Linked DNA regions of Arabidopsis thaliana. The protein of the gene in region 2 interacts with the protein of the main gene of each other region in a pairwise test. Each region holds a gene or a part of one and is shown on either strand. Other genes may lie near its edges.

Region 1 (8,476 bases), on a different chromosome or scaffold from region 2:
TGGGTTTTTTTTCAGATGAGAAGAGCAGAGAAGTACTCCAAGAACTTTCAGGCGACCTCGATCCCATTATCGCTAAAGGTTGTGATTCTTCATTGAGTATCTTGGAATTTAAGAATTCAAAAAAATATGACCCTCTCATATAAAATGGTGTGTGTGGGTCTGTTGTGTAATGAAAACATCTACGTTTCATCTTCCTTTTGTTAAACTTTGTTTTGTATTCAAATGATTTGCAGACGGTTTAAGCTCTGTTTTAAGCTATTATCTCGGCCTACTTGCATTTCTTCACTTTCTCAGTGAAAGAATGATTAATTTTTTTCATTAGAGTGCACAATTGTTAATTAATATTTTCTTGTTATAGAAGCAAATTACAAAAAAGCTATCTGACAGATTCCAATGTGATCAGTTCAGTCCAAGCTGTGCTAGTGAAGTCATATTCTTGATTCAAGTAAGAGTTGTGGCTCGAAAACCAACCATTTGCAGATAAGCTTTCTCCGAGTGAGTGAGTTGAATGATCCAGTTACCCGCCCCCAAGTTATCAATCTTCCATGAATCTCTGTTTGCATCTCCTTCTAGTCATCTGAGCCCATCTCGCAAAGATCTCTGCTGCAGCAAACTTACCTGAGAACTTAGCTCTCTGTGCCAATTCCTCAAATATCTCCGGTTGTCCCCCTCTGTGGAAATCAGCTGCAAACTTGTTATAATCAATCAAAGGGGTTTTCATTCCTTTGTCAAGCATCTCCTCCAAGTATCTGCATGCCTCTCTCGACTTCCCTTCACTTATAAGCCCTCTGATCAAAACCGTGTAGGAGTTATCGTCAGGACAAATCCCTTTCTTGATCATCTCGTCCCAAACTGCTCTCCCCATCTCATAGTTTCTCGCCACGAAGTAAGATTTCATTATCATGTTGAACGTGTGTATCGATGGCTCAATTTCGTTCTGGATCATCTTGTTGTAGATCCTTGTGCCATGTTCCGGCATTTTCTGGTTCGCCATCAGTTTGATCAACGCATTATACGTTTTGCCATCCGGAGGGTGTCCCTTTTCTTGCATCTCCTTGAGCAGTTCGTAAACAGTATCCAGCTTCTTCTGAGTCCCAAACCCCGTGATCAGACACGTGTAAACCGCAGCATCAGGTTGCAACCCGGAATCAACCATGTCATCAAAGTACTCAATGGCAGTTTCCATGCTCGACTGTTTGCAGAAGTCCCGGATCATGATGGTATAGCTACGGACATTAGGGCAAGGTCCCTTGGATTTCATAACATGGAACAATTTGATCGCATCTGATTTTTTCATACTCCTCAACAACCCTTCAAGCATTACGTTGTGAGCTACAATGTCAGGTTTCAATCCGTGATCAATCATATCATTCCAGATTCTAGCTGCTTCTATCAAGTTCCTCACCCTGCACCAACCATTGAGTAGAACAGTGTAAGTCATCATATTAGGTGTAAACCTCTCCTTCAGCTTATCAAACAGAACCTGAGCTTCTTTTCCAAGCTTAGCCCTGCCAAGACTATCAAGCAAGCAATTAATGGTTTCAACACCAATCTTAAACTTGTACTTCTTCATCAACTCAAAGATACCAACAGCTTTCTTCCTCTCTTTCGCAGCAGCGAAAGCTTTCATCGCGATAGTGAATGTCTCCATCGTCAATAGACCTTTCGTACCCATCTCTTCGAGTACCGAAACCATCGTCTCGAACTGTCTAGTCTTTGCTAAAATACTCATCATGGAGTTATATGTTCTTGAAGCATGAGCAAATCCTTGTCTCTCTGCAGCCCAACAGAAGAACCTAAATGCAGGCTTCCTAGCATGTCGAAAACGTTCTAAAACCTCAACGATGAGATCATGTGATAAATCTAGTTTCATTTCATCAAGAACAGCTTCCATATTTCTATCTAACGCAAACAATTCATCAATCACTTTGCAGACTCTCTCTACTTCTTCCGGATTAGTACTTGATTCAACACAACTGACCCCAGTTTCTTCATCATTATCGCATTCAGATTCAACTTCTTCATCACATCCATCACTAACATTAGAACTACCACTAGAGAAACCTCTACACCCAAGACTCGCATCAAGCAGTTGTACAGAGGAGTGTGGCAATGGAATTTGACGGTAAGGATGATAAGTAGAAGAATGAATCATACGAGAGAAGAGAGCACCGGAAAATCGTACTTCCTCTTCTCCTCTCCCGCCGATTACGCGGCTTTGACTGGAAATGAATTCATCGGCATCGAATGAAGAAGAGCAAATGAGGAATCTTCTTAATGAAGTCTGAGTGGAGCTTCTTCTCCTAGAGAGATAGAGCCATGGAGCAGCAGCCATGGAAGCTCGACGGCGATTAGCAATGGCGAAGTCGGTGAAAAGCCACTGATTTACGGCGGAGAGCTCTTCACGTATTTGGGCCTTTGTTTGATTAGAAGCTTTGAGTGATAATAATTTTGACCCATTAAAGGCCCATTGATCTGGTCACATATAACCATTGGGTCCACCAGGAGCATTAAAGCTCAAACGCATAAAGAATTTTTATTTTTTAGTTGGAAGGTATCTGTATGCATCTTATCTTCGTTTTAGGGTCGTGATATTTTCTCAAGTTTTTCTTAGGGGACCAATTTATTTTTAGATTTATTTGATTCTATCTTACATTTCTCTTAGTTCACGTTGTCTTTGTATACGTGTTTATGGATATTACATAACTGAAAATCAAGATCAGTCAATCAGTGTAACATCAATCATCAATAACCCTGCGGGATGTATATAAAACTAAGGGATATATGAGGAAAATCAGATTCCAGATTAAGTTCATAAATATTGATTCACCTAAAATCTATAATAACATAGTAGTTCAGAAGCATGAAATAATTCTATAAAAAATCATGAATTATCTACATAAAAATATCGCATATTGTAGATAAGAGTCACCCCTGAAAGAAAAACGATAGTTTTCTGTATTTGGTTATCAATCAATCCTATGTGGGTTTATATCTTATCTAATGTAAAAATTACACAAAGGATAGTGTCTGCAAATATCTAAATGAAAACACTTAATTCCAAAATGAGAAATCAAGTGGGTTTTGCCTAGCTAATTGTATAAATAGTAACACAATCATAATCTCTTCTTCCATCAGGTCTTCTTCATAATATATTTCTTCTCTAATAATTGAAAGCAAAAGAAAACAGTTTTTTTTTTTAGAAAGGTAAAGAAATGGAGGAAACAAAGGAGAGAAAGATAGTAGTAGCAGTAGACGAAAGCGAAGAGAGCATGGAAGCTCTGTCATGGAGTCTTGACAATCTTTTTCCATATGGTTCCAATAATACACTCATCCTCCTCTACGTCAAGCCCCCTCTTCCCGTTTACTCTTCCCTCGATGCCGCAGGTTAGTCCTCGTTCTTTCACGATTCATATCTTTCCCTAATTATAATCTGTTCACTTTAGTTATAGATTTTTGTTTGGTCGATTTCCAGGGTTTATAGTGACAGGAGACCCGGTTGCAGCTTTGAAGAAGTATGAATACGAGCTCGTGGAATCGGTCATGGCTCGGTCTCGAACCGTGTACCAAGATTATGAGTCTGATGTAAGCTTATTTCTATCGATTTTTTATCACTTAATTTGCTGGATTATACTTGCTTAAAAAACTTGAGAAATTATGAGAAAGTGAATTTAATCAAGTAGTTATGAGTTAATCTGTTTATCATGAGCAATATTTAGTACAAAAAATATAACATATGATAAGCAAAATATGGTTGTTTTCAAAGAGAGTTGGCGAAATAAATGTAAATATAACCAAATTAATGTGCAGATTAATATAGAGAGACGAGTTGGAAGAGGAGATGCTAAGGAAGTTATATGCAACGCAGTTCAGAAACTTAGAGTTGATATGTTAGTAATGGGCACTCATGACTATGGCTTCTTCAAAAGGTAAGGTTTCAATCTCTTATAAGAAACAAAAATATTTTGGTTTAATGGTTATTTGATAATCATTTGATATATTTGATAGGGCTTTGCTAGGGAGTGTGAGCGAGTATTGCGCCAAACGAGTCAAGTGTCCTGTGGTTATCGTCAAGAAGCAAGCTCAAGATAATTAAGCTCATATGATTGCATTGTGTATATGTTTCGAAAGAACTGGTGTAACACTTGAATCAATCTTCGTATGCGATAATAAAATACATAACGGTTTAAACAAATTTAGCAGATATTTTTGCTTATATAAAACTAGCTGACAATGACATCAATCAACCAATTAAATTCAAATCTACATTCTCTACATACAATGCCAAATTAAAAACTAATGTAAACGCAAATTTCAATTTAACGTATAGAAGAATGTAATGAACCATATACCAAGTTTTGAATATTTGCAATTTTGTTGTTTGAACACTTAATTGTTGTTCGCTTCAAAGTTCAATAAAGGCCTCAAGGCCCAAAGTATATCTGTTACTCATCCAGTCGACACAGTCATACTTAAACGTCGCCGTTTCCGTGTTCGAAGCTTCGTGAAAATCTTCAATCTCGCGAGAGAGAAGAAGAAGAAGAAGAAGAAGAAGAAGCGATGTTCCTGGTGGATTGGTTCTATGGAGTTCTGGCAACTCTGGGACTATGGCAGAAAGAAGCGAAGATTCTGTTTCTAGGTCTCGACAACGCCGGCAAAACCACCTTGCTTCACATGTTAAAGGACGAGGTTCGTTTTCTTCGAGCCATATCAGTAATCGCTGTCTAGAATCTTGTTTCTTTTACTTAGCGCGAACGAATCAAAGTCTTAATCAGCGATAATCGTTTGATTTGGGTTTCAGAGACTGGTCCAGCATCAGCCGACACAGCATCCGACATCGGAAGAGCTTAGTATCGGCAAAATCAAGTTCAAAGCCTTCGATTTGGGAGGTCATCAGATTGCTCGTAGAGTCTGGAAGGACTATTACGCTAAGGTTTGATCTTCTTTCTTCTTTGGATTTTATTGTTAGGTCAATCAATTTAGCAAGTCTTTGGAAGGACTATTGCGCTCGTATAGTTGTATGTAGACTCTAAGCTGACTCTGTTATAGATTACAATCTTCCCTGTGCCCATATAAACAATAGTTAGATGATAGAGGTGAAGTGAAATCTTCAATGAAGTTTGTCATATAGCAATTCTCTTTTGAATGTTGCAGCATGAGGTCCTGTGATTACATTCTGCTGGTTATGTGTACCTAGTAAGCTCTTGCTGTGTACTACTCCTACTCTGTTCCTTAGCCACTGTGTTGCTCCGTTGGGTTATATAAGTTTGCAGATGATAGTTTGAAATGATTGAGCTATAGTAAAATCTTCAGATGATAGATATACATATACATCATATACTGTAGTTTAAAATGACATTGTGATTGGTATGTGGAGCCAGTGGAGGTTGAAAATTAGAAGATTGTATAGCTATAGACTACTCTTACTGTCAGTTTTAGAGTCATGAGGTCCCTTGTGATTTACATTCTCATAGCTGATGATTCCAGTGAATCAAGAGATTAATAGACTCCGGTGTTTCTATTAGCTACCCTCTTTGCATTCTATCTTCAAGTTTGTAACTTTATTATTGTCTCGTATTAGGTTGATGCAGTGGTATACCTAGTTGATGCATATGACAAAGAGAGGTTTGCAGAATCAAAGAAAGAGCTTGACGCTCTTCTCTCTGATGAATCCCTAGCAAATGTCCCTTTCCTCATCCTTGGAAACAAAATCGACATTCCGTACGCTGCATCAGAAGACGAGCTGCGTTATCATCTAGGCCTCACCAGTTTCACCACTGGGAAAGGTAAAGTGAATCTAGCAGGAACAAATGTTCGTCCTCTTGAGGTGTTCATGTGCAGCATTGTCAGAAAGATGGGTTACGGCGAAGGATTTAAATGGGTTTCTCAATATATCGACTAGATCAATCATATTTAAGTCTTATCTATCTATACTGTGTGATTGGTATCTGTACGTGTTATAACCTAATGTATAATTACGATTAATGTGTGTATACAACAAGATTTGACGGCTTTTAAATTATCAATTTTGTGTTTACAGACCAAAGTTGAATCCTATGAAAAGTGTGAACCCATTTGTCTGTGACTGTGTAACTGTGTGGGGCTTAAGAAATGGCTGTATCTTAGCTTTTTTATGAAAATTCGAAAGATGAACACTTTTACTTTAATAATGTAATGTAGAGAAAACCCCATGTGAATCGAGTTTGACAATTAACAATCACAATGTCCTACACTGAAAACCAATCAATTTGACACATAGATGTACCATAATGAGTGTACGTATATTGTTTTACATGTGTTATGTCTCTTTGTGAACTTATCATTATGTCTGTTTTTCTTCTTTCTAGGTATTGTGAAATGAACACAAACAGATCTATGGATAACCATGTATTTATTTTCATTAAAATATGTGAACAATAATACTCCAAAATAGTTCACAAAATAAGTAAAAAAATTTGCTTTTTAGCACCATCACAATGCGTCTTTGATCTCAGCCGCTTCCAAACGTTCAAGTCGCAGCGTAATAAGGCTAATAGATTAGATTTTGCGACTCAAGATTTTGCAGCTCAAGCATATATATGTCTACGGACTATGCAAATATGGATGTGTAAGAAAACTATTAGGTGCTCACTTTCTCTTTTTATAACTTTTTCAGAACATTTCTCCTTTGGACTGATTCTTCTCTACGTGGCCCAAAGTTAATATCAAAAGTTTTTTTTTAACGTATTATTTCTATCATTTGTTATTAATTTTTTCTCCTTTGGATTGATTCCTTGTTACAGTTTTTGCTCTTCTTTTTACTATGCTGTTTCTTTTTTATATTCGCCACTAGCTAGAGACTGGTTCTATGTCCCAGGACCCATGAAATACCAAGCACGAAAATGTGACCAAATGAATAATTTGATTTAAGTTTTTTGCTTGAATGAGAAAAGTTTTTTTTATATATAAAAAAATGTCAAAATATTAAAACTCATTCGATTGATTGCGTGGAGAAGAGAAAAATAAATTTAGAAGAAGTATTAACTTGGTTTTTGGGGTAAAGGGATGCACATGGATCCCTCATTCCCACGTGATATCTAAGCCAAGAACACGTGCCTCCCTCTGAGCTATCTGACTTTTATGTGATTGGTTTCAGTTTTTAGTTCAAAACCCAAAGCTTTTGGATCCAAAAGAGGTCTCTATCGTATGCATTTGAGCAAAACTAGATGATTGGTTTGATGCCCAACGCAATATTCTCTCTTTTTTACTCAATACTTCAAATTAAATAACGACGTTAATCATACAACTAGTATTATTAGTATTTGATAATAGATTCCTATCTTAAAACTTGCGCCAACTTTGACACTTATTTGGTTCTATATAAAACCCATGTCTCGGTGAAAGTCACCAGTCATAGACAATGCAATCATGTTGCAATGTCGAAACACCCAATAGTGAAAGTGTTATGTACAATATTTTTGGATGTCCACTTGTAGCTAGAAAGCTTAATATTTTATGATTTTTCAAATAATTTTTGGTTTCTGTTGGACTATATGCATTCCTATAACTTTGCAAGATACTATATAACTTATCAAAATTAAATTTAGAACTAAAACATACCATATGATAGAAGGGATTTGACGAAGTATACATATTGATGTGTATGTATATATGAAAATATGAAGGGTATTTACGTATAAATATGTATGTACATGTTGTGTGTATGATATATACGCCGTCATGGTGTGCCTCTTAAGATGCTAACATGTTTATAGAATGGGGACAGTTGCCTTTTAAGTAGACCCACTTTTAAACCAAATATTTAACTCAACACTAGTTAACTACAATTAACACGTAATCGTCGTCTTTGTAGAGTTTGTTAACTCAAGCCATCCTGGCATAGTTGTCTCGACCAATGGCACGGTGTGCACTATCATCAACTATTTAATGCTCGACTCTATCTTTTAATTTGTATTATACTAGCAGTTCTCATCTCTTATCTCTATTCTCAACTAGTTCAATTTCATACGAAAATTCAATCAAGAGTTCATATTTATATACAAATGAATAGAGTTTGGTTTGTAAGAATATAGAGAATCATTGATGTAAAAAAATGTTCATATAGCTTTGTAGAAATTCGTTTATTTATCATGGAAATATAGGATTTCAAGGGAAAACTGTATTTTTTACCCATTTTTTATTTATACAAGGGAGAATAGAAAATTGTAATACATAGTTAAAGATCGATATTATATTCTGAATGATTAACACCTATGTTGTAAATTGAAGCCAATACACATACATTGCCTATAAGTCCAAAAATGTGGAAGGAAGTTGTACCTATAATATAATCATTTTATGAGCTGCATTATTATTATTGCTGTTATATTCAGTTCCCAATCATAAAGGCTACCATCCCTTGCTATATAGTTTTTTTTTTTCTTTAAGAATCCTATGAAAAAAGTTGGATATTTATTTGACATTACATATTGTTTTC
Region 2 (7,408 bases):
TTCAATCTTTCTAGCCTGTGGGATTCAATACAACACAAAGCTTATTCAAATATCAATTGGATCCAGTAAAAAGATAAATCATTGAGAATTAGCCAACAAAACCAATAAATTCCCCAATTCGAATCGAACCCAGAAGATTGATATCAATTCAGACCTCAAATATTCGAAATTCAAGACAGATTTTCAGACACTACCAGCTTCCCCAACACAATTACCTAGTAGCTTCGAATCAAACGACACAATAATTTTATAAAAAGAAAAATACCTGTTTCCGTAAAGCATCCCAAGAGCTAGGCACATCCATGGCGTCTACTGAATCTGTCAAAATCTCTCCTTTATGAAAGCGGATCGTGTCCTTTCCGGCAAGAGACCTTTTTCCGATATAAATCAGATGCGACAATCTTCTTCCTCGTCCTCGTCACCAAAGGTTTGAGCCCCTAAAAGATGCGATCCAATTGGTTCGAAATTGAGACAAGTAGTGAACGGAACGGATCGGATTGAGAGAAGGATAGAGTTGGTTCGGAGACGCAGACAGAATTTCTGCGTACCCCTTCAACGGAAAATTGCTTTTCAGTTTTGCGTAATCACAAATTAATTAATTCGATGACCTGAGATTCGGCGGGTATAATCCAGTGTTTTCCACCCTACAGTAAGTTTATATATAAGTTGACCTACACATTTAGTCAAACTTGCAAGCGATACGTGGATAATAGTAAACCTTAACATAAACGACATCGTTCTCCAGTAAAAATAGACCCGGCTCGATGGCTCGAGTCCTAGAAGCTTACCGGGTTCTCTCATCAAACTGCTCCATTCGGATATACTTCCACTCTCAAGTCTCACTCCCTCACAATCAATTCAAGCGATTGCCGCCCGTCGTCGCTTTCAAATTTGTTCTTCCGCCGGTAACTAATTCTCTTTCGCTTTGACTACGCTTTTGCTTCACTGCTTCGATCTCGTTCGGTTTCCTTCTGTTTGCTTCTTCAGAAATTCCTCGAATTGCTTTTGATCAATCTCAACTCAATCTGTGGATTACTATTTCATCGTGTTTTCACTTGTTGGTGCTCGGGAAAATTATGCAATTTTTCGAGTTGTTAATGGCTTTAGTTCTTCGTGTTTGCTCTTTAATGAATTACGAACTTTTTCCAAAGAGAAATAAGGTCTATTTTTTTTGGTGAAAGTAGGAGATTTTTTATGGCGGAGGGACAATTGACGAACATATCGGAGATGATACTGAAGAAGAGGAAGAAAGGGATGAGCTTGAATTGAGTAATTACGGCAACAATTACAGTAGCAGAGTGTTACATTAGTTGAAAGTTGAAAGATAGTTGTGCTCTTCATATTTTTTTATGGTCAATATCATTTTGTGGATAGAAAACTTTATCTTATAGTTTCTTAATGTTTGATGGTCAATGTCATTTTGTGGATATCTGAACACGCATCTTGACTTTTCGTTGAAGCTGCCACTTTCAATAAGATATTAGAACTTGCAGTCTGACTTTTAAATTTTCTAATCAATATCAGGAGGGCACGATTGTACTCTTTTTCCTCTTCTCCATTCAGTGCTCCTTATCTTGTGTTGTTTCCTGCATCGTCTTGATATTTGAAAGTTTGAGTAAGATGGGAAACTGTGTAGCACTAGAAATATCTTGTGATCAAACGTTGAATCATGCTTGTGGCTGCTTATTTGGTGATCGGAATTACATTCTCAAGATGGAGGCTAATCTCGAGGCTCTGCAGAATACTATGCAAGAGCTCGAGGAGAGAAGAGATGATCTGTTAAGAAGAGTTGTCATAGAAGAAGACAAAGGTTTGCAACGGCTTGCTCAAGTTCAAGGTTGGCTTTCAAGGGTTAAAGATGTTTGTTCTCAAGTCAATGATCTGCTGAAAGCTAAATCAATTCAAACTGAAAGGTTATGTCTCTGTGGATATTGTTCTAAGAATTTCATATCTGGCCGCAATTACGGAATAAATGTACTGAAAAAGTTGAAACACGTGGAAGGACTTCTAGCTAAAGGAGTTTTTGAAGTGGTGGCAGAGAAAATTCCTGCGCCTAAGGTGGAGAAGAAGCATATCCAAACCACAGTTGGGTTGGATGCAATGGTCGGAAGGGCATGGAACAGCCTCATGAAAGATGAACGAAGAACTTTGGGTCTTTATGGTATGGGGGGAGTAGGTAAAACCACGCTCTTAGCTTCTATTAACAACAAATTCCTTGAAGGGATGAATGGATTTGATCTTGTTATATGGGTTGTGGTTTCTAAAGATTTGCAAAATGAAGGCATTCAAGAACAGATTTTAGGAAGACTAGGTCTTCACAGGGGATGGAAACAAGTTACAGAAAAGGAGAAAGCCTCTTACATATGCAACATCCTCAACGTAAAGAAATTTGTGCTGTTATTGGATGATCTATGGAGCGAAGTAGATTTAGAAAAGATTGGAGTTCCACCTCTAACGCGAGAAAATGGATCCAAAATAGTTTTCACCACTCGTTCTAAAGATGTTTGCAGAGATATGGAAGTTGATGGTGAGATGAAAGTTGATTGTTTGCCACCGGATGAAGCCTGGGAACTGTTCCAAAAGAAAGTTGGACCAATCCCATTACAGAGCCATGAGGATATTCCCACACTTGCAAGAAAAGTAGCAGAAAAATGTTGTGGCTTGCCACTTGCACTCAGTGTCATTGGCAAAGCTATGGCATCTAGAGAGACTGTTCAGGAATGGCAGCATGTGATTCATGTTCTGAACTCGTCTAGCCACGAGTTCCCAAGTATGGAAGAAAAAATTCTTCCTGTTTTGAAGTTCAGTTATGATGATTTAAAAGATGAAAAAGTCAAATTGTGCTTCCTTTATTGTTCCCTGTTTCCGGAAGATTATGAAGTAAGAAAGGAAGAGTTGATAGAATATTGGATGTGTGAAGGATTTATAGATGGGAATGAAGATGAAGATGGAGCTAACAACAAAGGTCATGACATAATTGGCTCGTTAGTTCGTGCACATCTATTGATGGATGGTGAACTAACAACAAAAGTGAAAATGCATGATGTCATACGCGAGATGGCTCTTTGGATAGCGTCGAACTTTGGAAAACAGAAAGAAACACTTTGTGTGAAACCCGGTGTGCAGTTATGCCATATACCAAAGGACATCAATTGGGAAAGTTTGAGAAGGATGTCTTTGATGTGCAATCAGATTGCAAATATATCTTCTAGTTCCAACTCTCCCAACCTCTCAACTCTATTACTCCAGAATAACAAGTTGGTGCATATATCATGTGACTTTTTTAGGTTTATGCCAGCACTCGTGGTCTTGGATCTTTCGAGGAACTCGAGTCTCTCTAGCTTGCCGGAAGCAATTTCTAAGTTAGGTTCCTTGCAATATATCAACTTATCAACAACAGGGATAAAATGGTTGCCAGTTAGTTTTAAGGAGTTGAAGAAATTAATCCATTTGAATCTGGAGTTTACTGATGAACTTGAAAGTATTGTTGGGATAGCTACAAGCCTACCAAACCTGCAAGTGTTGAAATTGTTTTCTTCTCGTGTTTGTATTGATGGCAGTTTAATGGAAGAGTTACTACTCTTGGAGCACTTGAAGGTTTTAACAGCAACTATAAAGGACGCCTTGATTTTGGAAAGTATACAAGGAGTGGACCGATTGGTGAGTAGTATTCAAGCTTTATGTCTCAGAAATATGTCAGCACCGGTTATAATATTGAACACGGTAGCTCTGGGTGGTCTTCAACACCTTGAAATCGTGGGCTCCAAAATCTCAGAGATAAAGATAGATTGGGAAAGAAAAGGAAGAGGGGAGCTTAAATGTACAAGTTCTCCTGGCTTTAAGCACCTCTCTGTTGTTGAAATATTCAATTTGGAAGGTCCAAGGGATTTAACATGGCTGTTGTTTGCTCAAAACCTCAGGCGTCTATCTGTGACGCTGTCATTAACCATAGAAGAGATAATAAACAAGGAGAAAGGAATGAGTATTACCAATGTGCATCCAAATATCGTTGTTCCGTTTGGGAAGCTGGAATTCCTTGAAGTAAGGGGTTTGGATGAGTTAAAGAGAATCTGCTGGAATCCCCCGGCTCTTCCAAACCTGAGACAATTTGATGTACGAAGCTGCCTTAAGCTACCGGAAGCTGCCACTGAGTTTCCGCGACATGCCAATGAATAATGGGAGGACGGTGCTCCGGTGCTAGCTGATGGTTTCTGGCTTATGTACTAGTTTTGGAGAATGAAGCTATCGCAGATCGCAGATGTACTGCTTTTCTATCTCCCTCATTCTTGCTTGATTTGACACTCTCTGTTTGACTATATCCTTTCACTTCTTGATTTGGTTTCTGTTTGTGCACTGCTTTTGTTCCCGATTAACTTGTTTTCAAAGTTTTGAAAGACTATTTCCTTTTTCAGTTTTCACTTGTATTTTGTTTTTGTCTAATAAGTTCAAAAAATTCCAAGTGCGTTATCATTCTCTCTTTACTCTAATCTCTCTGAGTTTATTACTTTAAAAGGTTTCCTAATCTTTGTAACGCGGAAAACCGTTTTTAGCCTTCCAGTAAGAACACTAGATGGAGACGCAATTTCATGGCGGCGATGGAGAAGATCCTTGGCTAGCTCGAGACAAACTATACCATGTAATATTCTGCTTCTCAATCTCTCTTATCTTCTCTACTCTCGCCTCTTTCTCCCGCTACTCCTTTCTACGCCGTCACTCCATCTGGATCGGATCTGCTTTCTCACTCGCCGCCGGTGCGGCTAAAGAAGCTGCCGATCAAATTGGTATCTTCCCTTCCGCAGGTGCTTCCGTTAGAGACGCCGTCGCGGACGCCATTGGAGTTGTGATAGCTGCTTTGGTTCTCCTCCTCTGGAAATCTCGAAGATCACGTACCCGACCCATCCTTCCGATTTGAATCTTCTTTCTTATTGCTGCCGATTCGATTCACAGTAGAAAATATTCCGTTGAAGCTTGTCAGTGTTGTATCCACGGATAATCTCGCAATTTTTATCAAAAGTTTGATCATCACAAAATTTTGGTAATCAGTCTCCTTTGATTTTACTTGTTGAAATGAAAACATGCAACAAACAGTTTATGAGAGTATTGTTGATTCAAGTAAATCAGTTTTGAATAAAACTGTACTCAGATTATTGCTGCTAAAGTATATGATTCATGAAATCTGAAATTTTGAATTAGTTCAGTGTTTAGGCTCAATATCAAATATTCGTTTTCGCCATTTGCTCATTCATTGTGAAGATCAAGGAGAGAAACATTTGGCCTGCTTGAAACATCACATCAAAATTTGAAAACCAACAAAATTGAAAAGATTATGATGTCCAAGACCAAGACCAAAATGAATTTTGGTCAAACATGAGTCAAACATGATTTTTTTTCTTTTTCTTTTTCTTTCATCAATGTGTTTTTAGTCGTTATCTTTAATATTGCTTTTTCCTAACTCTCCTTCTATTGGCGCATTTATTTTTTCTGAATCCTAATTCATTTTTTTTTTGTTCTTAAATTAATTCCAATTTCCAAGTCCTCTTCATCTTTATTGCTTTTTTTATTCCCTAACTCTTGTTTTATTGGCATAGAAATTTTCTTCGGATCCTCCTCACTGTCTCTCTATACTCCACTCTTCATCAAGCGTTGGGTCATCGCCGTCTTCCCTTTCCTTCCCTCTCTAACGTAAGCTCCAGATTTCTTCTATTCTCTGTTTTCTCATTGAAATCCCTAGTAATGATTTTCTCTATTCTCTGGGCATTTCGTGCTTCAATGCCTTTACTCACTTCTTCTTTAAGAAAATATTTTGGATTTCTCTATGTTCCTTATCATGCATGCGACATGCGTGAATCTCTTAGCTGAGTTTTGTAAATGCTGTATCAATTTCGTCTCTTTTGCTTTCTCTAGTTTATTTTTTCCTTAAGTTCTTCCCTAGGGTTTCTCTTGCTCTGAAGATTTCCATACTATCGACTCAGTTTGCTAGAAATTGAGTCTCTTTTGGGCTTTAAACTTTGCTGCATGAACTATCTGATGTGACAGACTCATTTTAACTCTAAAAAGTTTTTCGATTTCTTAGAGATTCTATTTAGCTTGTTTGGTGAATGCATCATCCTCTTGGTTGCTATTTTTCATTTGTTATCATTCTTTTCTCCAGGTAAAGCAGGTAGGATGAGCATTTCTGATGAAGAGGCTGAGATCAGCGAGTCAGAGATTGAGGACTATTCTGAAACACCCTACCGCCTTTTACGCGACGGGACTTACAAGGTGAAGGTGAATGGACAGCTCAGATGCCCGTTTTGTGCAGGCAAGAAGAAGCAAGATTACAAGTACAAGGAGTTGTATGCACATGCTACTGGGGTTTCCAAAGGTTCTGCCACCAGAAGTGCTTTACAGAAGGCTAATCATCTTGCTTTAGCTATGTTTTTAGAGAATGAGCTTGCTGGTTATGCAGAACCTGTTCCACGCCCTCCAGTTGTTCCTCCTCAGTTAGACGAGACTGAACCAAACCCTCATAACGTCTATGTCTGGCCATGGATGGGGATTGTTGTTAACCCTTTGAAAGAAGCGGATGACAAGGAACTTCTACTTGATTCAGCATATTGGCTGCAGACCCTTTCCAAATTCAAGCCTATTGAGGTGAATGCCTTTTGGGTCGAACAAGATTCGATTGTTGGGGTTATTGCTAAGTTTAACGGAGACTGGAGTGGCTTTGCTGGTGCCACAGAGCTTGAAAAAGAATTTGAGACCCAAGGGTCCAGCAAAAAGGAGTGGACTGAGAGGAGCGGAGATTCAGAGTCAAAGGCCTATGGTTGGTGTGCACGTGCAGACGACTTTGAATCTCAAGGTCCAATAGGTGAGTACCTCTCCAAGGAGGGACAGCTAAGAACAGTTTCAGATATTTCGCAAAAAAATGTGCAGGATAGAAACACTGTTCTGGAAGAACTTTCAGATATGATTGCTATGACAAACGAAGATCTGAACAAGGTCCAATACAGTTACAACAGGACGGCAATGTCACTGCAAAGGGTCCTAGATGAGAAAAAAAACTTGCACCAAGCTTTTGCTGACGGTATTTACTGACACACTGATATGTTTCCGACTCATATAGCATTTAGGGTATCTGACTATTTTTTATACTTTATCTCCTCAGAAACAAAGAAGATGCAGCAGATGTCACTTCGCCATATCCAGAAAATCCTATATGATAAAGAGAAGCTAAGCAATGAACTGGATCGTAAGATGCGGGACTTGGAGTCTCGGGCCAAACAATTGGAAAAACATGAAGCACTAACTGAACTGGATAGGCAAAAGCTTGATGAAGACAAGAGAAAGGTAATATCGTTTTCAGTATGATACATAGGAAACAATCAGTCTGTTCATATGTATGCATTTCTCTTTTCCGAGGAACCAA
Region 3 (8,941 bases), on a different chromosome or scaffold from region 2:
TTTGAGTATAACAAGCTATCATGGCATCATAGACGAGTTTGTCTTTCTTAGACATCAGTCTAAAGAGCTCCTCAGCAGACTGAACATCTCCCAATTTTGTGTACCCTGAAATCATTGTAATCCAAGAGACACCATTCTTCTGGGGCATTGCATCGAAGTAGGTTCTTGCTAGTTTCATTTCCCTGCAATTCACATACCCGCCTATCAATATATTCCAAGAAGCCGGACTTTTCAAAGGCATTGCTGAAAACAAAGAGCATGCATTGCCCATGTCACCTTTTTTTGCATAGCTCGAGATAATCAGATTCCATGACACAGCATCTTTCTCAGGGATCTTGTCAAAGACTCTGCGAGCCTCATCTAGTTCCCCGCTTTCCAGATACCCGTGTAATAGCGAGTTCCACGAAACTGTGTTCTTCTCAGCAATATCATCAAACGCCTTCTTTGCCAGCTCAATGTAACCAAGTCTAGAATACAAACCCACCAGACCTGTCTGAACATAAACACAACCACACAATCCATTTTTCAGAGCCTGAGCATGAATCGGTTTACCATCAACCATATTCTCCATTTTACCACAGGCTCTTAACACTGAGGTTACAGCATGTGAACTTGGAGGAATCCCAGAGTTATGCATATCAATATACACGTCAACCGTTTCTTTAAACTTCCTATGCTGGCTTAAGAACCGAACTAAACACCCCCAGGAGAAAGAATCATGACCATTAAACCCCTTGAGGATTCTTTTAACATAGGTTACAATATTCCTAGAGAACTCTTTAGTGAAGTGAAGAGTTTGGTGAACCAAGATGGGTTCAAGATGGTTATAGCGGTTCACTACTAACTGTGCATGAACTTGCTTCGCCTGTTCAAGCACTACACATCTTTGAAGGAAGAATCTCAGCTTAGAATCCAACATTTGTGAAACAAACTCTAAAACCAACACAAGAACCAATCTACCAAAGACCTTCCACTATCAAAACAATCGTCATACATTACATTGATGCCTCAGTTCCTAATTTCAGCTCTTTTCTAGAGAAAGTCCAATAAGTTTGTGCTTGATGCACCGAGTCAAAATTTTAATTTCGAATCTAAAACTTTACGGTTTATATCCTGAATAATATAAGAAAGGCTTCCTAAAATAGAATGAGAGCAATTTTACCCGAAAGAGAGAGTATGAGGACTACAGTGATCGCCGAGTAGTGGTGGAGGCGTCGGCGATAGCGACGGCAACTTCTCTCTGTTATAAACCTGTTTGGGTTTTGCAATTCGCAGAAGAAGAAGATACTTCCTAAAGACTCTGACTCAAACAGAAGGTTTGATCTCTCATTTTTCTCACAATTATAATTCAAAAGTCAATTTTCTGTTATTTTCTCGAAGTGTGTATGAATTTTTTCCTCATAAATCAATAATTTCGTAGAACCATATCCATCTATCGTCACAAATATATACACACTTATAATACAATTTCATAAAGTACAAGGTTCCCTTATTTGATGAGAGTGGAGCAAAACACAAACTAAAAAATATTATGTGCCACGCTCAAAAGTGTATACTTTGGTCTATCTCATTGCACACATACCAATATGTTCCATATCCTTCTTGTTCTCCTCATGATTTTCCCAATCAACTGAGCGATGCACGATCCGATCAAATTCGACGACGGAATTAGGCTCGTTCTCGCTGGAGAAATCCCGGCGAACGAACCTCCGGTTTCAGGAGCTTTCTTTCTCATGTAGAAGCTTCTACTGCCTAATTCTCCAATTATTTCTCTTTTCTCCAAACCTGAAAATTACATTACATCAAACTTAAGTATATTTTGATTGTCTTAACCATTCAATTATGTGACAAAAAAGAGAGGTAAATCGTTAGGTTTAGTCACCATTTTCTTTATTATAGGTTATATAACTCAAGAATTATGTGATGTTTCTATGTTCACATGAGCCATGAGTAGTTTTGATATTTTCCATAACCGTTGGTGATTAAAGCAAAACTAGATATCATGGAGTATAGATATTTAATCCAATCAATCTACGTCAAACTGAAAACAACTGATTCAAAATTTCAACCAAAACATCATTTGTGCTTTTATTTTATTAATTCTATATGTAAAAACAATTATTATTTTTGGATAATTAATATATCTTACACTGGATGCTGAAATGTGACTGATGCAATTCAAAGGCAGAATCTCGATCGAGTTTTGGAGTTCTTCCTTCTTTACAGTACTTGTCAACGACAATTTTGATCGTTTCTTCGACGTTGCAACTCAGTTTAACCATTGCTCTTACCGGTCCAGGACTTCCTTCTACTGCTACACTGATTATTACTTTTGGTGCTTCTTTTGTATTACCCTGTTTCGAAAAATAATAACAAAATGAGGTTCTCTGATTTTAGAAATTTAATAGAAATGTCAATTTTTGGTATATTTATCACGATCTGATAACATGAACTGGAGAACTGACTCTAGAATTTGCAGCTGAACTTAAAACTCTTTGTTCAGCCTATATAATGGTTATATTGAAATATTTTATAATATTAGGCTTAAACTGTAAACTTTTAAATCTTTGTGGACTAAATGATGAATTCTCTTACAGAGTTGAAATCATGAATTTGTTGATTTGAAAAAATAGAAGCAAACGACTCTGACCTCTTGATTGATCGGAGATGAAGACGAGGGCGAATATAAGTTCAACAACGACGGAGACGAAGCGAAAACCTCAGAGCGAATCCTAGGCAAGTAAACGATCGGTTTTGTTTCTTCTTCCATCGGTAAACCTCTCATCGGCGATGGTCGCCGCAAGTGATTACTCTGTCCGTCGCGGTGGCGATTAAGACTCGGCTCTGAGAAGCTTCTCTCGAAAACCTTATTACTCGATTTAGAGCGATTATTCTTGTCGGAAACATATCTGAAAGCTGTTCGTCTTGTTCTGGAGCTCCGACCTCCATTTCCTACAGGATTCGAAACTTTTCTCCGGTGAATCGAATCAGACATTTCGTGAATGATGATCTTTGCTTAAGGAGGAGGAAGAAGAAAAAACAATTGAGAGGTTTTGGTGGTTTGCTTGGCAAAGAAGCGAATTAAGAGTTATTCTCTGCTTTTGCTTTGCTTTACTCTTTTATTATCTTCTTTTCTTTCATTTGTATTTTTCAAATGTTTTTCCAAATCAAATTGTTTTTTTTTTTCTTTTTAACATAAGTGTGGATTTTAACATTTAAATTCAAACCGACCAAAAAAAATACACGATTAAAGGTAGTAATATAGACGTGGTTCTTGTAATATAGTATTTATATTTCCTGTCGACGATCGATTCTTTTATAGTATGATATCTTGTGCTGATTCTTACGTACTTGTGTTTATTATAGTAAAATAGAAATGCGTTGAATTGTAGCACTGTATTAGATTAAAACTTCTATGTAATTATGGAGCTAAAATGTTTTCTGGTTAGCATACGGAGTATTTTTTAAAAAATCTATCCTTATTATGGATAAAATGTGTTGGAAAAAGGCAATAATATACTTGTACAAATGAATATAAATTTCTTGATGCATTGTTTTAGAAGATTACTTGGGAGACTCACAATCCTATAAAGTGTAAAGGAAACAAAACTATTGGATTTGTAGAAAAGTTGACACGTTAAACAAGAAAACGAGAAACCCAAACAAGTTTCGTAAAACACAAAAAATCTAAGGTGATAGTGAGAAGCACATAAACAAATGAAAAAAAACACATAAACAATTAGAGAGGAGGGAGACTCAACTAGTATCATCAATTCATTAAATTTTACGAAAGTGCTGAGTAATGGAAGTAATATAAAAAATTTATAACCAAAAACAAGAATTCATCAACGTCAAGAAAAAACAACATAAAATAAAAAGGAGAATTTGTGTGGCTGAGATTGGTCCGAGGTTTGTTTCCACTGTTAAAAGAAAGAACTTTTGGGCTTGATTTAAAGTCATTAATGGTGTGGTCGACTTCTCTTATGCCATACGCACTCATGTTCACGCGTAACGCACTTGTTTTCCACCAAGTATTTAACAACGATCGTTTGTGACCCTTTTTTATGTATACTTGAAACTTAAAAAATATGTATTATTACATTTAAATATCATTTATTGTCATGACGAAAAAATTGTAAGACTTTATAATTTCAAATGTAACGTCACTTTTCGTGATGATGTAATACCATTCTATTACTTAAATACAATTGGCCAACAGCCTCAATTTATTTCAACCTTTTGCTATCTCTATAGTATAATGGTGTCATAAAAATTCATAGACACATTCCACAAAACTCGTGTATGTATATCCGTGTCTTTATATATATGTGTATATCCAAGTGTATAATAAAGTTTTTTTTCTTAAAAAAAAAAACAGAAATTTGTATGCACCATTTAAACAATTAAAGAAAGAAAATTGGGCCTACTCCAAACACAACGCTACTGTGGAGTACATTTTATCCATTTTAATGGCCCAATAATTTATAATGGGCTTTTAGTATGGGCCATTTTGTCCCTCTTTTTTATGTTGTAAGCGAGATCTTGAGACAATGTTAGTAATTTTGGTTTAATCCGGTTCAACAAGTAAACATCACACTTGTAAACTAAACCGATAATGCCACGTCACTACTCCAAATATTCGCCAAATCATAACAGACAAAATCCAACAACAACGACGACACTCTCCTCTCTCACTCTCTCTCTCAATCTCAATCTCAATCTCACGTCAACGACCGTCGCCGTCACCGGAAGGAAACGATTTCATCATCTTCTACAATGATCCCATACGCAACAATCGAAGAAGCGTCGATCGCATTATCTCGAAACCTCACATGGCTAGAGACTCTCTGGTTCGATTACTCCGCCACCAAATCCGATTACTACCTCTACTGCCACAACATTCTCTTCCTCTTCCTCATCTTCTCTCTCGTTCCTCTCCCTCTCGTTTTCATCGAATCATCTCAATCCACCTCAGATTTGTTCAATCGCTACAAAATCCAACCAAAAGTGAAAAACTCATTCTCATCGATGTTCAAATGTTACAAAGACGTCATGAAGATGTTCATCCTCGTCGTTGGTCCATTACAACTCGTTTCTTATCCTTCGATTCAGGTTAATTTCTGGAATTTGGCTTCTAATTTCGGAATTGATGCGATTTAGGTTGATTTTGTTTTTCGTGTGTTGAAACAGATGATTGAGATACGAAGTGGATTACCATTACCATCATGTATGGAGATTGTAGCACAGTTAGTGGTTTACTTCTTGGTAGAGGATTATACTAATTACTGGGTTCATAGATTCTTTCATTGTAAATGGGGTTATGAGAAGTTTCATCATATTCATCATGAGTATACAGCTCCTATTGGTTATGCTGCTCCTTATGCTCATTGGGCTGAGGTTTTGCTTCTTGGCATTCCCACGTTTCTTGGACCTGCTATTGCTCCTGGTCATATGATTACCTTTTGGTTGTGGATTGCTTTACGACAGATTGAGGCTATCGAAACTCATAGCGGGTAAGGAAAAGGAATGGTTTTGAATTGTTTATCTTAGTTTATAATGCGTTGGGGCTATGTGGGAAGTTTCAATAGTGCGTTTACCTTTTGTTGGTGGGGCTAAGGTTAGGCACTAGCCTTTTCTGATGCTTTATTGACTGTAATTAGCTCTAGGTGATTGTTTAGAGACTGCTTAGTTAATCTTTTGTGGTCAACATGAGCAAGAAATCATTCTTGAGATGATAAGCATCTTGTCTTGTTCAAATAAGTATTTGGACAATATGATGATTGCTTGGTGCATGAAACTTGTTTCTCTGGAGATAAATTGACTTGTTTTTTTTATTTTTCGTTTTCTTTTGAAGATATGATTTCCCATGGTCTCTGACAAAGTACATTCCATTTTATGGTGGAGCTGAGTATCATGATTACCATCACTACGTTGGAGGACAAAGCCAGAGTAACTTTGCTTCAGTTTTTACTTACTGCGATTACATCTATGGAACTGATAAAGTGAGTAATGAAACTTCAGTTCTTTTCCGGTTAGCGTCTACTAATTCTGGATAAAAATTTGACAATGTGGGTATATGTTCTTATTTTCATCAGGGTTACCGATTCCAGAAGAAGCTTCTTCAGCAGGTAAATAAATACTCCATAAACTGAGACTAGCTTATCTCTCGGCATACCGCATACCCATAAACGCAGCCATCAAATTGCAAGCTCACATAACAGTATATGTGGTATCTAGTATCATCATATTGATGATATGTTTCTTGATGCTATATCTTATGAGTTGCAGATGAAGGAGAAGTCCAAGAAGAGCAACAAGCTGGTTAATGGAGGAGAGAAATTCGATTAGTAAATCTAAAACCCCTCGCGAGGTTGACTTACCGTAAGTTTCAAGCATTCTACAAATGTAGTCAATACTTAAAAATGAAAGGGTAGTTAGTTTTCTCTGTTCTGGTCTTCCCTGTGTCACATGAAAATGCTCGTGACGAGTTCCTATCTGAAGTTTTTTTTAAAACTCTTTTGGAATTGGTGTGTGTCAATAAATCCTTTTTGTATATTTTAAATGTTACATAGTGCATTCATTGGCTTGTAACAAGTTCCTACTCTGATAGTATTAAGTTAAGTTAAGTATAACTTAAGTATCTAACGTTAACAACAAGGCCCGTCTAGCTCAGTTGGTAGAGCGCAAGGCTCTTAACCTTGTGGTCGTGGGTTCGAGCCCCACGGTGGGCGTTTCTTTTCCTTTTTGTTGCATTTGAGTGGCATGATTTAAAAGGAAAATCCTTACCATAACGATAGTTGCATTGATGATGGGGGTCGATTTCACTCTCGGAAAACAAATCTAATCAAAGAAGGCTAAAACAAGCGAAACACATGCATTTACTAAAGCTGTCTCACCAAACTTGAAAACAACAGTTTTAAGTACAGTAGTAGGTACAATAACTTATTTAGTTGTTACCAACTAATTTATGACTTTAAAATCGAAACACTCTCTTCCTTCCTGTGTTTTTTCAACTAAACCTAACAACACACAGTTTTTCTTTAACACACATTTCCTTGTTCTCGTTGTCTTAGAATTACCATGGACACAGTGAATATGATAATAACTTCAAGAATGGGGTTGTAGCTGTGTGAGGCTATATTTTTTTTTTTGGTTTAATGAGGCTATATTGTAAACTACTTCAATAAGTTTTTACTCTTAAACCAATTCACGAAAGAGTTTTAATGAACTTGATATTAAGTTTTTGTCCACACATATTTTGTGTATCAACGAGTTTTTCTTTTCTAGACGTATGGATCATCACTCTTCGTTTCGTAGATTGTTAAACAATGAAGAAAGGCTTTAGCTATTCAAAATCATTTGGTGAAAAGAAATTACTCCTGATGATAGGTCTATAAATGAATTTGCAACAAATATTTCCGAACATACAATTTTAGATATCTTCTAACCTAAATAACTACTAAAAAATAACAACCTTAGTAACTTTGAATTTTCGTTTTATATTTTTAAAAAACGAAAATGTGACCCGTTCGTATCAAATATAGACGTAAAGAGATAAGATATGTTTTGTTGTGTTCTACTAAAAAGTCAAAAAACAAATACATTGAGGACCCAATTTGGCGGACTTCTCAAAGGGTAAATAATATACCAAAAATTGGAAAAATCAAAAAAAAAGAAAAATCACCGAAATTAATTAAGTAGGTACCATGTTTCGACATTTGTGCATCTTTATATAGTTTTTCAAGCATCCTCATCATACATTTTCCAAAACACATTCAAGACACGTTTTATGAGTCTATAACTCCAAAACAATGCTATAACATAAACCACACAAATTAATCCAGACACAACACTCTCACAATATGATCCCTTATCCAACCGTAGAAGATGCGTCCGTGGCGTTAGGACGAAACCTTACTTGGTTCGAGACGGTTTGGTTCGATTACTCAGCCACCAAATCCAATTTCCATGTATATTGCCACACCATTCTGGTTCTCTTCCTTGTCTTTTCACTAGCTCCTTTTCCTCTTGTGATTGTCGAATGGACCGGTTGGTTCGATCAGTTTAAGATTCAGAAGAAGGTTAAGTATTCGTTGTCTGATATGTTCCAATGTTATAAAGAAGTCATGAAGTTGTTCCTTCTCGTCGTCGGCACATTGCAAATCGTTTCTTATCCTTCCATCCAGGTTACTATTCATTTTAAATTTTCATTTATTCTTTAAAACAAACAACCAAATATTTTATGATATATGTATATTCCTTTTTTTAAGTGTTGTTTTTGCAACGTTTTTTGTGTGAGTGGGTTGTTATACAATTTTGTGCTTTTTTTTTTGGTTATTTAGAGAAAAATCCCATTAAAATATTAAATTGAAACGTTATATTATTGCATATATGTATATACCCTTCTTACAACACTTTTTTTTGTTAATTTGTGATGTTCTTGAGATATACTATATGTGTTAATTGACAGATGGTTGGGATTCGAAGTGGTTTGCCATTACCATCGTTAATGGAGATAGTAGCACAATTAGTGGTTTACTTCTTGATAGAAGATTACACTAACTACTGGATCCATAGATGGATGCATTGCAAATGGGGTTACGAGAAGATTCATCGAATCCATCATGAGTACACATCACCTATCGGATACGCATCGCCGTATGCGCATTGGGCCGAGATTTTGATTCTTGGGATTCCGACGTTTCTTGGACCGGCAATTGCTCCTGGCCATATAATGACGTTTTGGTTATGGATATCTTTACGACAATTCGAGGCGATTGAGACCCACAGCGGGTAAAACTACACTAAACAAACTTAAAATCATTATCCTGTTTAGCGTTTGTAAAAGAAAGATTGAGTGTTTAGTGATATCATTCGAAAATTCAAACGCTAAACACAAAAAAAGAATTTAGTAATATGCAAACATAGACATAAATAGTTA

What was found.
Region 1: the proteins of AT1G15900 (region 2) and AT3G62560 interact in a protein complementation assay, tested with the Arabidopsis thaliana proteins (one large-scale study listed by BioGRID).
Region 3: the proteins of AT1G15900 (region 2) and SMO1-2 interact in a protein complementation assay, tested with the Arabidopsis thaliana proteins (one large-scale study listed by BioGRID).

What each region holds. Positions count from the first base shown.
Region 1 is NC_003074.8:23,132,979-23,141,454, forward strand, and holds AT3G62560 (Ras-related small GTP-binding family protein), read left to right. Parts: upstream 1-4,307; 5' UTR 4,308-4,560; coding exon 4,561-4,689; intron 4,690-4,801; coding exon 4,802-4,933; intron 4,934-5,581; coding exon 5,582-5,902; 3' UTR 5,903-6,167; downstream 6,168-8,476. Other genes in the region: AT3G62530 (ARM repeat superfamily protein), read left to right, coding at 16-143; AT3G62540 (Pentatricopeptide repeat (PPR) superfamily protein), read right to left, coding at 536-2,335; AT3G62550 (Adenine nucleotide alpha hydrolases-like superfamily protein), read left to right, coding at 3,216-3,387, 3,476-3,585, 3,811-3,929, 4,009-4,096.
Region 2 is NC_003070.9:5,459,786-5,467,193, forward strand, and holds AT1G15900 (uncharacterized protein), read left to right. Parts: upstream 1-4,487; 5' UTR 4,488-4,570; coding exon 4,571-4,912; 3' UTR 4,913-5,162; downstream 5,163-7,408. Other genes in the region: GOS11 (golgi snare 11), read right to left, coding at 1-15, 266-304; AT1G15885 (uncharacterized protein), read left to right, coding at 765-905, 1,185-1,310; AT1G15890 (Disease resistance protein (CC-NBS-LRR class) family), read left to right, coding at 1,621-4,176; FDM1 (XH/XS domain-containing protein), read left to right, coding at 6,166-7,066, 7,148-7,329.
Region 3 is NC_003075.7:11,952,531-11,961,471, reverse strand, and holds SMO1-2 (sterol C4-methyl oxidase 1-2), read left to right. Parts: upstream 1-4,553; 5' UTR 4,554-4,776; coding exon 4,777-5,112; intron 5,113-5,190; coding exon 5,191-5,513; intron 5,514-5,854; coding exon 5,855-6,002; intron 6,003-6,095; coding exon 6,096-6,128; intron 6,129-6,288; coding exon 6,289-6,348; 3' UTR 6,349-6,632; downstream 6,633-8,941. Other genes in the region: AT4G22760 (Tetratricopeptide repeat (TPR)-like superfamily protein), read right to left, coding at 1-919; AT4G22758 (PPR containing protein), read right to left, coding at 1,568-1,785, 2,150-2,354, 2,651-2,995; AT4G22755 (methylsterol monooxygenase 1-3), read left to right, coding at 7,863-8,186, 8,471-8,793. UniProt on the Arabidopsis thaliana protein: Non-heme iron oxygenase involved in sterols biosynthesis by catalyzing the removal of the first methyl group at the C-4 position. 4,4-dimethyl-9-beta,19-cyclopropylsterols such as 24-methylenecycloartanol are the preferred substrates.